Linked DNA regions of Ovis aries. The protein of the gene in region 1 interacts with the protein of each later gene in a pairwise test. Links are inferred from orthologs where the notes say so. Each region holds a gene or a part of one and is shown in the gene's direction. Other genes may lie near its edges.

What was found.
Region 2: the proteins of YTHDF1 (region 1) and DHX30 interact in a two-hybrid assay, tested with the Homo sapiens proteins (2 studies listed by BioGRID, with this or other methods). The link is inferred for Ovis aries from reciprocal best matches to the Homo sapiens genes YTHDF1 and DHX30.
Region 3: the proteins of YTHDF1 (region 1) and PRRC2B interact in a two-hybrid assay, tested with the Homo sapiens proteins (2 studies listed by BioGRID, with this or other methods). The link is inferred for Ovis aries from reciprocal best matches to the Homo sapiens genes YTHDF1 and PRRC2B.

What each region holds. Positions count from the first base shown.
Region 1 is NC_056066.1:54,032,129-54,036,557, forward strand, and holds the start of YTHDF1 (YTH domain-containing family protein 1), read left to right. Parts: upstream 1-1,605; 5' UTR 1,606-1,900; coding exon of another isoform or gene 1,901-1,907; coding exon 1,908-1,934; intron 1,935-2,169; coding exon 2,170-2,194; intron 2,195-3,181; coding exon 3,182-3,261; intron 3,262-3,364; exon of another isoform or gene 3,365-3,508; intron 3,509-4,429.
Region 2 is NC_056072.1:51,936,111-51,939,752, reverse strand, and holds part of DHX30 (ATP-dependent RNA helicase DHX30), read left to right. Parts: intron 1-489; exon of another isoform or gene 490-516; coding exon of another isoform or gene 517-718; intron 719-2,597; coding exon 2,598-2,728; intron 2,729-3,359; coding exon 3,360-3,470; intron 3,471-3,642.
Region 3 is NC_056056.1:5,321,966-5,325,607, reverse strand, and holds part of PRRC2B (protein PRRC2B), read left to right. Parts: intron 1-986; coding exon 987-1,203; intron 1,204-1,824; coding exon 1,825-3,642.

The sequences.
Region 1 (4,429 bases):
CATCCCCTCCCTGTGCCAGGAGCTGGGACAGTTTCTCCTACTCCGTTCACGGCCTGACCAGGAACAGGAAGCCCAGCTCCAGACTCTGTGACTCCATCCTTCCTGTGTCTGCTGGTTTGCCAGAGGAAAAGGCTTCCCCCCTCAGGGCTGGTCTAGGGGGCCTCAGGCCCTATGCTGGGCCCACAGAATCTCTACACTGGGCCTCTGAGGACCCTCTGCTCCCTGCTCTGGGCGATCCTCACGCTACCCCACCCCCCAACATCAGTGAGGACCACTGCCGGATTTCCCAGCTGGCTGGGTGGCAGTCTGGGGTAGGTCCAATGGTGGCTCTCAGATCCTGCCTGCCTCTTCCCTGGCCAGCAGCCTGATGTGGCTGCACCACCTGAGGCCTATATTTCAGCCCCTGTTGAGCACCTCAAATGTTTCAGTTGATATCATTTGTGATCCCTGTCCTGGCTGAACAGTGAACCCCCAGACTCCTGTCCATTGGGTACCTGTGAGTATGGCCTTATTTGAAAATAGGGTCTGTGTAAATACAATGAAGCTTAGATGAGGTCACACTGGATTAGGGTGGCCCTAAATCCAATGACAGTGTCCTCATGGGAAGAGGAAGTTTCAAAGACACAACACAGGGAGAAGCTCGTGTGAGACACAGGCAGAGAGCCAGGGACACTTGGGGCCACCAGAAGGTGGGAGAGCCAGCATTCTAGGCCTTTCACCTTCAGCAGATCTAGGCCTTGGGAAGATGTTACAAATGCCAGAGCTGGAAAAGAAGAGACCTATCTGGAAGCCATGTTGGAGGAGGGCCACAGGAGTTGGGAGGCCCGCTAGGTGTCTAGGCTGGGGGCCTGGTGTGGGATAGGGTGGGAGTGAGTGATAAGTGGGGAAGTGATGTCCCTTCAGGAAGGAGGGCAAGAAGTGTCTCTCCATTCCCCGAATAGAGACTCTAATGCCCTGAGCAGGTCCTGGACTAAGGCAAAGTGCAGCGCTGAACTGTTTTCCTCCCTGTGGTGAAATTTGAGGTCAAGAATCTAAATGCAAAATGGTTATAAGCTGGGGAGCCCCAAGGAGACCCAAGAGAGCACTCGCTAGGCGGCAATCTCAGGATGCCCGAGCCTAGGGCGCAATGGGAACAGAGCCTGCAGAAGTCCAGGAGCAGCCACCGGAGGACCGCTAACCTCAGAGCCTGGGCTCCCCTCCGAGGGTTGGCGGGGCGTTTGGGGCGAGGTGTGGGGTAGAGCGGACTGCAGCCCGCTGAAAGTGGCTTTCAGCGGACGTTCGCACTCGCGGGTTGCTCTTCTTCACACCTGAGGGACAAGCGCGGAGGGTGCCACCGGGCTCACAATCTGCGCCAACCTGTGCCGGCACGCGCCGTGCAGCCGCAGCATCATTGCCACCGCTGTGGCTGAGGTAGCGAGGCCAGACAGGTGCACACCTGCGGGGCTGGGCCCGCGGCACTTCAGGACATGCCCACGTTATTGCCGGGGCTAGCCCCATCCCGCCGCGCAAAACTGGGACCAGAGCGCGAGATCCGTCCCGCCGGGGGGCAGCGCGCAGGCGCGGCGCGTGGCTACCGTCGACCTCCCGGCCTGCCCCGCGCTCGCTGACGTCGCGCCGCCTGGTCCCCGCCGCTGCCGCTGCCGCTGCCGCTGCCGTCGCCGCCGCTGCCCCTGCCGCCGCCGCCATTGGAGTCGGCGCCGAGTCAGTGCGTCCCGTCCTGCTAGCCGCCTCGCGCCTGCCCACAAGCGGCCCGCGCGCCCGGCCGCCGCCGCCGCCCGGCCGGCCGGCGCCCGGGAAGGAGGCGGCGGGCCCGGGGCCGCGAGAGCTCGGGTGACAGGCCCGGCCTCGCGGGGAGGCCCGAGCCGGCGGGCGCCCTGGCCCCGCGCCGCGCCGGCTGTTAATGAAGCATGTCGGCCACCAGCGTGGACCCCCAGGTAGTGGCGGGACCGCGGTCGCGGGGCCGGGCGGCGGGGTCGCGGGGGCCGCTCGCGGTGCCGGGGTCTGGGTCGCGGGTTAGGGCTGGAGTCACGGGACCGGAGCGCCGTCGTCTGGGGCCACGGACCGGTTCGGGCCGGAGCGCGCCGCCCGCCGGGAGGGGTTCTCGTGGATAAGTTGTGTTTCTTCTCCCCGGGTGCTGTCCGTTCGCATGTCCGGCCTGCGGCGAATCAGAGAACAAAAGGACAAGATAATAAAGGTGAGCGAAGTCGGGACGACAGCCAGGGACCGGGGCGGAGGGGCCCGGGAGCGGAGGGGGCGGCGCTCGCCGAGACCCGGTGCACGTGTATGGGGGAGAGCGAGGTCTCCGAAGCGGCGGCCAGGACCGCGGAGTTTTCCTTTCTCAGCTTCAGGGAGAGAAAACTTCTGCTTTTGATATTGGGGGAGACGAAACAGGTCAAAAACAGGGACTTTTCAAGAAGTAAGTAAATCGACCGGGAGAGTAATTCCGTAGTTCCCTCTTTCCGCAGGGTAGTGGCGGGGGAGAAAAGGAGGCCAGGGGCTGAGCGATCCTCCTGTCCGTGACCCCAGGCATGGGGCTGGCCCCTTGGCCCTGTACTCTGGTGCCTTACCCCAGTAGTTCAAGCCTCTGTCTTTTGAGTGTCTTGTAATCTCTTGGGATAGTCTGGCTTGGGGTCCACCCCCAGAACTCACTCCTGGGAAAACTGGTGACGCTTCATGTTTACTCCATAGACTATTTTGAAACGGGGTGTGTGTGCCTCGGGTGTAACCAAATAGGGTTATCACGTTTGGAGATTGGAGAAGGTCCAGCACTTCTTTACCTTCCCCTCCTTTCCTGGCTGAGTGTGGTGACAGTGGAAAGTAAGAGTGCAGCCAGATAATAGTTCAGAGACGTCCAGTTACAGCTTCCCAGCCTCACTCCTCACTGGGCATACAAAGACCTTTGAAACCGGGTTATGAGTTCCTGGCATTATCTCATTTGCACCTCTGTTTTGTTAGTGTCTACCAAATTCCAAATAATTTTCGTAAAAATCGTAACCTAAGTTATTGAAAGTTTTGTATCACTTTTCTAATTAGCTGTGTATCAATTCTGAATGTCTGTCCATTTTTAAAGTAAAAGCAATTTCTAGAAGTTGATGGACATAAACTTGACTTTTTCCAATTTCCATGATTAAAAGCAAGGTTTTAAGAATTCGAAGGTAATATGTTGCAAATTCTCTTGCAGTACAAAATGGTTCTTTGCATCAGAAGGATACCGTTCATGACAATGACTTTGAGCCCTACCTTTCTGGACAGTCAAACCAGGTGAGTTTATCTTTTTATAACATGTTTGCATTTATTTCAACTGAGCTTTGAAAAAGTAAATACACCTTTACTACTGTATTTCTTACTTTATCATCCTGAACAGCAGAGATGCAGACCATAAAGTACTAAAGGTAAAGTAAGAAGCTGACAAAGGCTTGTTTTGAAGAGCAGCATCACATGGAAGTTGGGGCATGAGCGCAGTGAAGCTGGTCTTCTCTCTGGAGGAGATGACATCCCACTGGGGCTGGTAGGCATGCAGCATTCTAGTTGGTTGGTCTCAGCATTGCTGGGTCAACGATGGCATTGCGTTTGACAAAGTGGAGCTGCACTTATTTCTCTGAAGCTTTCCAGAGACTTTTTTTTTTTTTTTTTTAAACTCTGAGCAATTGGAATTTTGGTCTAGGAGCAGCTAGAGCAGGACTCTAGAGTGAGGCTCCATCTTTGGGTTCTTCAGGCCACTGCTGACTGTGACACTTTCTTGATGGTTTGCCCTCCCTGTGCTCGGTTACTTTTCTCTAGAATTTGAAGAGGTGACTCCTGAAAGAGTTGTGGGCAGGGTGAGACTACAGGGTGCCCTTAGAGCCCAAGGCAGTACCTAATGGGTTGTAGCCATCCGTTCTCTTAAGTGTTGTTTTCTTAGCCATGGCAGTAAGGGGATTGTGAATTGAAGTGCTTTCTGTTTGGGGGGCCATCTTGCACACTAGAATGTTTAGGAGCCTCCTGGGCCTGCATCCATGAAATGTCATCCATGCCATCCCGTGTGACAACCAGAAATGTCACAGGTGTCTCCTGGGGGGCTGTGTTGTCCTGTCTAAAACCACTAGCTCAGTTTGAGTTCAAGTTTAAACAAAACGTCTGTTACTTTTAAAGTGCATGGTGTATGTTTGCTTTAGAATCAAATGAGGCTCTGCCTCTTTCTGTGGAATGAAGCTGGGCTGCCTGTTTCCTTGCTTGTCTGCTCTTCTCTGGAGTGTCTTAGGGCTTTTCTCCATTCTCCTTTTTCCTCCTCCACTTGGCAGGACAGAGGCTGAGGGCCACACACACCCCACCCCATCCCCGAGAACCCACCCCTCCTCTCGGCAGCACAAGAGACTGCTCGGTGATGGCCTTTCAGCTAGAGGCGTGGCAGGAAGTTGAGCAGACTTAAACTTATTTCTCTTGCGTGATT
Region 2 (3,642 bases), on another chromosome or scaffold:
TCACCTTTGACTCTTCTGGAGATTCAGTCTGGTTTGCTAATATTCAAGAGGGCTTCCCTGTCCTGGTTCCAGATTCTTCACTAGTTGTAAGCCATTAAATGAGGTGGATGTGCCCCAGCTTAGCAGTAATCGCTATCTTACAGTCCGCCTGCTGGAGTGCAAGCCAACTGGGCACGTAGAAGCGATCTACCAGCCCTGGGTAGGACCCAGAGGGAACTTCTACTTCATTTCTCTGGGTGGACATTGAGCTAAGGCCTGTACTGTTTCCCGAAAAACCCCACTCTCTCTTCCGGCCTTCAGATGACGAGTTTGTGGGTTCGGATTTCCTAGGGGAGTGATTTCGGCAGGATCCCAGACCGATCCAGTCGACCCACCACCGGCCGACTGGAGTGTGATGTCGGCTCGGTCCCGGGTCCGCCCGTCCGGCAGGGGGCGCGCGGTGCCCGAGTCTCCCGTTCCTGCCCTTCTGCCCGGCCCCTGCCCGGCTCCGGAGTCGCGGGGGCGGGCGGGAGCGAGATGGCGACCGCCAGGAGACTCATGGCGCTGGCCGCCGGCGTCTCTCCGCGCCTGCGGCCATCGGGTCCCCGCTCCATCGGGCGACAGGGAGGCCCGCGCGGCCTCTCGACAGGCTGCTCCCGCCCCGACCGCACCCAGGAGGCCGCCGAGGCCGAGGCGGCCCCCGGCGAGCCTGGGGAAGGCGATGGAAGCATGGTGAACGGTGAGGGCAGTGGCGGGGGCAGCCAGGCTGCGACGCCCTTGACTCCTGGGGATGGCAGAGCTAGGGGCGCGGGCCGGGGTCGGGCCCTCTTCGGTATGGCTGAGACAGCCATTCAGTGGCGGGCCGCAGCCCAACTGCTGTAAAACTCAGTGTGGTTCAGGTCCAAATGGACCCCAAGCGCAGAGGTCTGGGACTGGAGCGCCTGCCCTGGCAACAGTAGGTGAGAGGTGCGTACCACGAGGGAGCTGGGGAAAACAGGTAAACGTCCAGTTCCTGCCAGGGCGGTGGTCTAGGGTTAGAGCATCACGGGTAAGCACATCCTTCCCGTTGTAAGAAAAAGAGAAAGCTCAGTATCCATCTGGGACTTTAAGATCTGAAATAGAGACAGAATGATTGGTCACAGTGGATCCCAGCGCTTGCCTCCTGAATAGTGCAGGAGATGAAACTAGTAAGAGCACCCCTGCCGACCAAGGATGGACAGAGTGTGCTAGCCTCTGCCTCTCTATAGAGCTGGAGTGGGTACCCCTGCACATCTGTATTATAGGTATGTCTGATGGGCTACTTAAAGTTACGCCCTCCTGTGAGGTGGAAGCCCTTTGAGTCTGCTTACATACTCTTTCTTGGCTACTTGATTCTCAGTAGTTTTAAGAGTGATCCTTCAGAAGGAGATAGGGCCAGGCAGAATCTTCCCTCTTGGCCAGTTGACAGGGGAGTCTTCTCCAGGGAAACAGTTTGAACCCAGGCCGCAGAGTTACAGCAGAGCTTGTGGAGGAGCGTTTTCAGGACACAGAGACTTGCCCAACACCACGGCCATTCTCAAGTGTCCTGTGGGGATCAGTGTGGAGGGCTGTGAAGACGTTCCCCACGTGACTTATGATCGATGCACACAGGTGCATATATATACACACACACATGCACACACACACAGGCTCTATAAAAAATATTTTTTGGAGCTGAATTATAAGCCAGAGACTGTGGGTGGAGAATGAAAAAGCTCTCCATCTCCTCTGACTCTGCATCTCCTGAAGGTCCACTCTGGTGCTCTGGAACTCTTCCTTCTGTTTTCAGTCACTCTCAGCAGGATTCTTCATGGTCTCTCTAAGTCCTGTGTTTGGCACAAGCTGCCTCTAGGTGGACATCTCACCCATTTGTGGTCTGAAATTGATCCAGAGTGCAAGTGAGCAGATGTAAGGTATCTCTCATGATGTCTGATGCATCCTGCCTCCACTTGGTTCACTGCAGTGAACTCCTGGGAGGACCAGCTCATGCCTGTGGCTCAGCTCTGGAGGTCTCTAATCAGTGTCCCTGCACAGAATCCGGATGAAAGGGGAGGTCTTTTGCAGGGTGCTGAGGTGTGATGGAGAACTGCGGCTTGGTGTTCAGACTCTGCAGGCATTCCTCCCTTTTGTGTATCTGTTGTTTTAGGAGGGGCCTTGCGTTGTCTTGACCTCCAGTGTGTGTACGTGTGCCTGTGTGTGTACGTGTGCCTGTGTGTGTGCCTGTGTGTGTGTGGTTGGTTTGGTTTTGTCTATTTAGTGCTTTCTTCCAGACATCAGATTAGGGGGGTTGCTGTCATCTAGGCTTCTATAGCTGATGTGTAAAGTCAGGAGCTTGGGTGAGGAAGAGGATGCTGGCTGGTTCCCCTCTGGTGTCTGGGGCATTGACCCTTCTCTTTCACAAGGAGATGCTTGTCCAGTGGGTCTAGGTCCACTGTCCCCTGTAAACCCTGAAGCCATCTGTCCCTCCTTTTTAAGATGCTCCTGGGTGGTTTGGGTCGCGAGCCAACATCCTCAGTATCCAGCCCAGGGTTGCCCTGAAGCATACCCCACAGAGTTTTTAAAGCAACACAACTATAATGCTTTTGTCCTTATTTTCTTAGCTTCTAGGGACCTATTAAAAGAGTTTCCACAGCCCAAAAATCTTCTCAACAGTGTGATTGGAAGAGCCCTTGGCATCTCACACGCAAAAGACAAATTGGTCTACGTGCATACAAATGGACCGAAGAAAAAGGTATGGTGGCAGGGAAACACGTTGGTCTGAGCCTCCGGAAGGAAACCAGCTGCCCTTTGCTCCCCTGGATTTCTCGTCAGGGAGGCCACAGTGGAGGTTGTTTGAATTGCGAATGGTCAGCAGAGAATCTCAGAACAAAGCTAGGTCTGGAGCAGAGTCTGGTTTAGGGAAAGGAAACATGGGCAAGTGAAGCGAGATGCTCTCTCATCTTGTGTGAGACAGGCCACTGTAGTGGGCCCTGGTGTTGGTCCTTCCTCAACTTCTTGGAACTGTAGAGGGTTAGGGTTGATGATGATTCCTGCTCCCAGAGTCTTGTAGGTCCTGGGACCAGGAAGCACGCAGGCAAACCATTCTGAATGAAGATTTTTAAGAATAAGGGTGGGTCCCACCTTGCCCTCTGGCTGGAACATGGCACTTTGAAGAAGCAAAGCAACTTGAGGTGGGACAGTGGCTTGGTGGGGGTGGGGGGAGGACTGGAGCCTTCCAAGGAGCTAATGATGGGGTCGGGGTTCTGTCTTGCACCCAGCCCTGCTGCCATGAGGCCTGCAGCTTTCCTGTGGATTCTCCGTGTGATTTGTAATACCTTTGTAGTCCAGAGGCAAGGGTTCTGATTCTCTCTTCTTTTTCTCAGAAAGTCACCCTCCACATAAAGTGGCCCAAGAGCGTGGAGGTAGAAGGCTATGGCAGCAAGAAGATTGACGCTGAGAGGCAGGCTGCAGCCGCGGCCTGCCAGCTGTTCAAGGTGACCCTCCCCTCATGAAAACCACACAGACCTCCCTCCTGGGAACTTTTTGCAGTAATGGTCTTCCTGGGCCCAGATGCTCCTAGGTTTAGGATGGCAGAGTGTTCAACCACTCAACCTATCCTAAGCCCTTTTCATCATGTGGTTCCTTTTTGCTTCAGCCATTGAGGGA
Region 3 (3,642 bases), on another chromosome or scaffold:
CCTACCTCGTGATCAATACTTAATGAACGGGGTGTAATTTTAGGATTCCAGAGAGGGTCCTCGCCACCGCATGACTCAGACTACCTTTGTGCCGGAGTTGTATATTGGTAACCTTCGGACAGAGCATCCACAGCTGAAAGAAAGTATAAAACCACTAGCCTGATGCAGAATCATTTTCCTGATCAGATTATCTCAGCTTTAAAAATGGGCACAAAACAACACTGGTGGCCAGTAATTAGCTTTGTGAGATATCTGAAAAGTCAGACCCTCTTTTCTACACAGACTCTGGCCACATGGGAGGCCTTTAATGTCGTCTACAGCATCCCATCTGTTAGAACTGGACAGAGGGGCCCTAGTGAGGGGGTGCTGTCTCCCGGGCTGGTTTGTATCTGGTTGGACCGAGATGTCAGCTTATCCCTGTTTCCTCAGGCCAGTTAAGAATTGAGTGTCATCTGTGTGTCCCCTTCTCCCGTTTCCTGGAGAGAAAGTGGATTATCACTATAAGCTCAGGGGCAGAAACAAGCAGAGCTGAAGTCCAGACCCCTTTCTGAATCTTCTTGTAGGGTTTGGAAGCAGGCAGACGCTGGCTCCTTGGTGCATGTAGGCTTCCTGGAGTGTAGCTCATCTTCCCTGTGTCTGTGCAGGAGACCCTCGGGCATCTCCTGCTGCTGGCTGCCTGGCCCCTTAGCTTTCTGCTGCCAGCCATGGGCTCTCTAGTTGGTTGTGTCCTGTTTTCATCTGCCAGTTGTTTAACATCCTTCAACATAGGGGATCTTCATCGGGAACTAAGACTGGACCTCCAGGGCCTTCGAACAGGCCTTTCAGATGGCGTGCCTGTGTGCTTTTGGAGGCTCTATGATCAGATGACGTGAAGCAGGTGGGCTGCCGCATCCGCAGGATGGTCAGGGCAGCTCGTCTCCTCTGGGCCTGTGGGCCACCCATGGTTTACTGAACGAGGTGACCAATTGGCTGTTTGCCTTCTTCAGGATTGATGAAACCCATAATGCCCCCGGATTCCCTTAGTGGGACTGCCTGTCGCTCTGAGGACCAGAGCTGTGTGCCCCCGCTGCCAGAAAGGAAGGTGACCGCCATTGACCCCACCCCCGTGTGGAGCCCCGAGGGTTACATGGCGTTGCAGAGCAAGGGCTACTCGCTGCCCCACCCGAAATCCAGCGACAATTTGGCCATGGACATGCATGTCAGGTGAGGTGACGCTTGGTCCTGCTGCCTTGCAGCTGAAGGAGGAGTCTCGGTCCTCAGTGAGATGGGCTCTGGGAGGAGGCCGTCCCGGGAGACACCGCCCTCAGGAAAGGGGCGCCTTGAGAGAGACCAGTGTGCTCTGGGAAAGGAGAGTGAGATGAGGATAGCTGGGTGCTTTCATGTGAGAGGCTCCGATGGTGACTGAAGGTCCAGGAGGAATCCTGGGGTCAGAGGCAAATCCCAAAGAACCTTGGGCCAGGGCCGTGGGGTGGGGTTGAGCATGTGTGTTACGGCTCCTTCCTGTGAAAGTAAGGTGAGCTGGCTCTGCCGGCCCAGCACCCCAGACTCTTCTCGGACTTTCCGGCTCCAGCGTGTTTGAACCAGAGGATGCCCAGCTGTTCGTGGAGTCCGCCAGCCACTGATCATCACTCTGGACTCCAGGGGCCGCCACCAGCCCATGGCCCAGCATCTCTGAGGCCTGTTTAAAGATAGAGCGAATGTTCGTGCCTATGTTTTTTTCTTTTTTGTTTAAAAAAAAAATTTTTTTTTTTTAAACTGTGTTCAGCGTGGAAACCAGGAACCAGGCTCCAATCACATTGACTGATTTTTCTGGTTCCTTTTCAGGAGTGAAAGCTCTTACTCTGCCTCCCCCGGAAGGTCAGGGGGCATGAGTGCCCAGCGCGAGCTCCTTGAGGAGAGAGGGCAGGAGTACTTGAGCGCTTCTGACAAGAAGGCCCCAGCAGACTGTGACTCCCGTGTCTCCTCTCAGAGAGTAGGCCAGGAGCTTTTGTTTCCACCCCAAGAAAATGGTCAGGAAGCAGGCACTCCTGTGAGTCACACCCCAAACCTCAGGTGCTCCCCACTGGAGCCTGACTTTGCCCCCACGGAGAAAAAGCCCGAGTATGGTGACTGGGATGTGAACCACCAGTCAAAGGTTGCCGACCCAGACGCTGCGGTTGAGAAGGAGGTACCGCTGGAGGAGCCACCCTTCAGCGTCTCCTCCTGGGAGAAGGAAGGGAGCCCAAGCAAGCCGCCGGCTCTGGAGCCTGAGTGGACGCCAGAAGCCCGGGGCACCAGCAGCCAGCACCCGGAGCAGACCAGCAGGACCCGTAGGTCCGGCCCCATCAAGAAACCTGTCTTGAAGGCCCTCAAGGTGGAGGACAAGGAGAAGGAGCTCGAGAAAGTAAAGCCGGAACTGGCAGAGGGGAACACCCGCCTGGCCCGGGAGACGGGGCCTGTCCATGAAGTGGCTGAGGATGAGGACCAAGAGAACGACCCCGCGCTGGCCAACGTGGCCCTGGCCACCTCAGAGGACCAGGGCTCAGCCCGTGGCAGCTTGGGCCGTGAGGCCAGCTGTCCCGAGGAGGACAACAAGCCTGATGGGGCCCCGGAGGCCAGACCCTCCAGGGAGGCCAGCCACACACCCCCGACCAAGAGGAATAACTGGATCTTCATTGATGAGGAGCAAGCCTTTGGGGGCCGGGGGCCGGCCCGGGGCCGAGGCCGCGGGTTCCGAGAGTTCACCTTCCGCGGGCGGCCCACTGGTAGCGGCCTGTGTGGCGGGGGCGTCCTTGGGGCGCGGGGCCTCTACAGCGGCAGTCAGAGGAGTGGCCGGGGCCGCGGGCCGCCGGATGACTTCCCCCGGGCCAAGCCCCGGCGGAGGATTGCCAGCGAGACCCACAGCGAGGGCTCTGAGTACGAGGAGCTTCCCAAGCGGCGGCGGCAGCGAGGCACCGAGCCTGGGGATGAGGGCACGCTCCCGGAGCGGGAGGAGGCCACGGGAAGGAAGGGCGACTTCAGGGAGTCCTGGCGGTCCGGCAGGATGCACCCCGAGGACCACAGTGGGCCTGAGGCCAAGAACCGAGGCCCCCGGGCCTTCGGGCGTGCCCTACCCCCGCGCCTGAGCAACTGTGCATACAGCCGGAGAACCTTCGCGGCTAAGGAGGTGGCCCCTTGGCCCAGCCGGGGTCCTGGTGCCTCCTGGCAGGAGCCTGGCCCCCCTGATGCGTGTGGGGCCCGGCGGCCCTTAGACAGAGACTATATCCCAGATGCCTACAGACGCCCCGACGCCTTGGGCTCCCGGGGCTTCGAGGATGGCCGCCTGGAGGACCGGAGGGCCTTCTTCCAAGATGACCATGCTGCAGAGTCCGAAAACACAGAGAACCGGCCCTTCCGGCGAAGGCGGCCCCCACGCCAGGACAAGCCGCCCCGCTTCCGGCGCCTCCGGCAAGAACGGGAGGCCCTGGGCCTGTGGGGGCCGGAGGACGAGCCACCTCTGGTGGCCGGCCAGTGGCCGGGCCGTCCCAGACCCTGCCCTGGGGACAGGAGCGGCGCCTCAGGCCGCAGGTCCCCTGAGCTCGCCTATCAGAACTCCTCCGACCATGCCAATGAGGAGTGGGAGACAGCCTCTGAGAGCAGCGACTTCAGTGAGAGGCGGGAGCG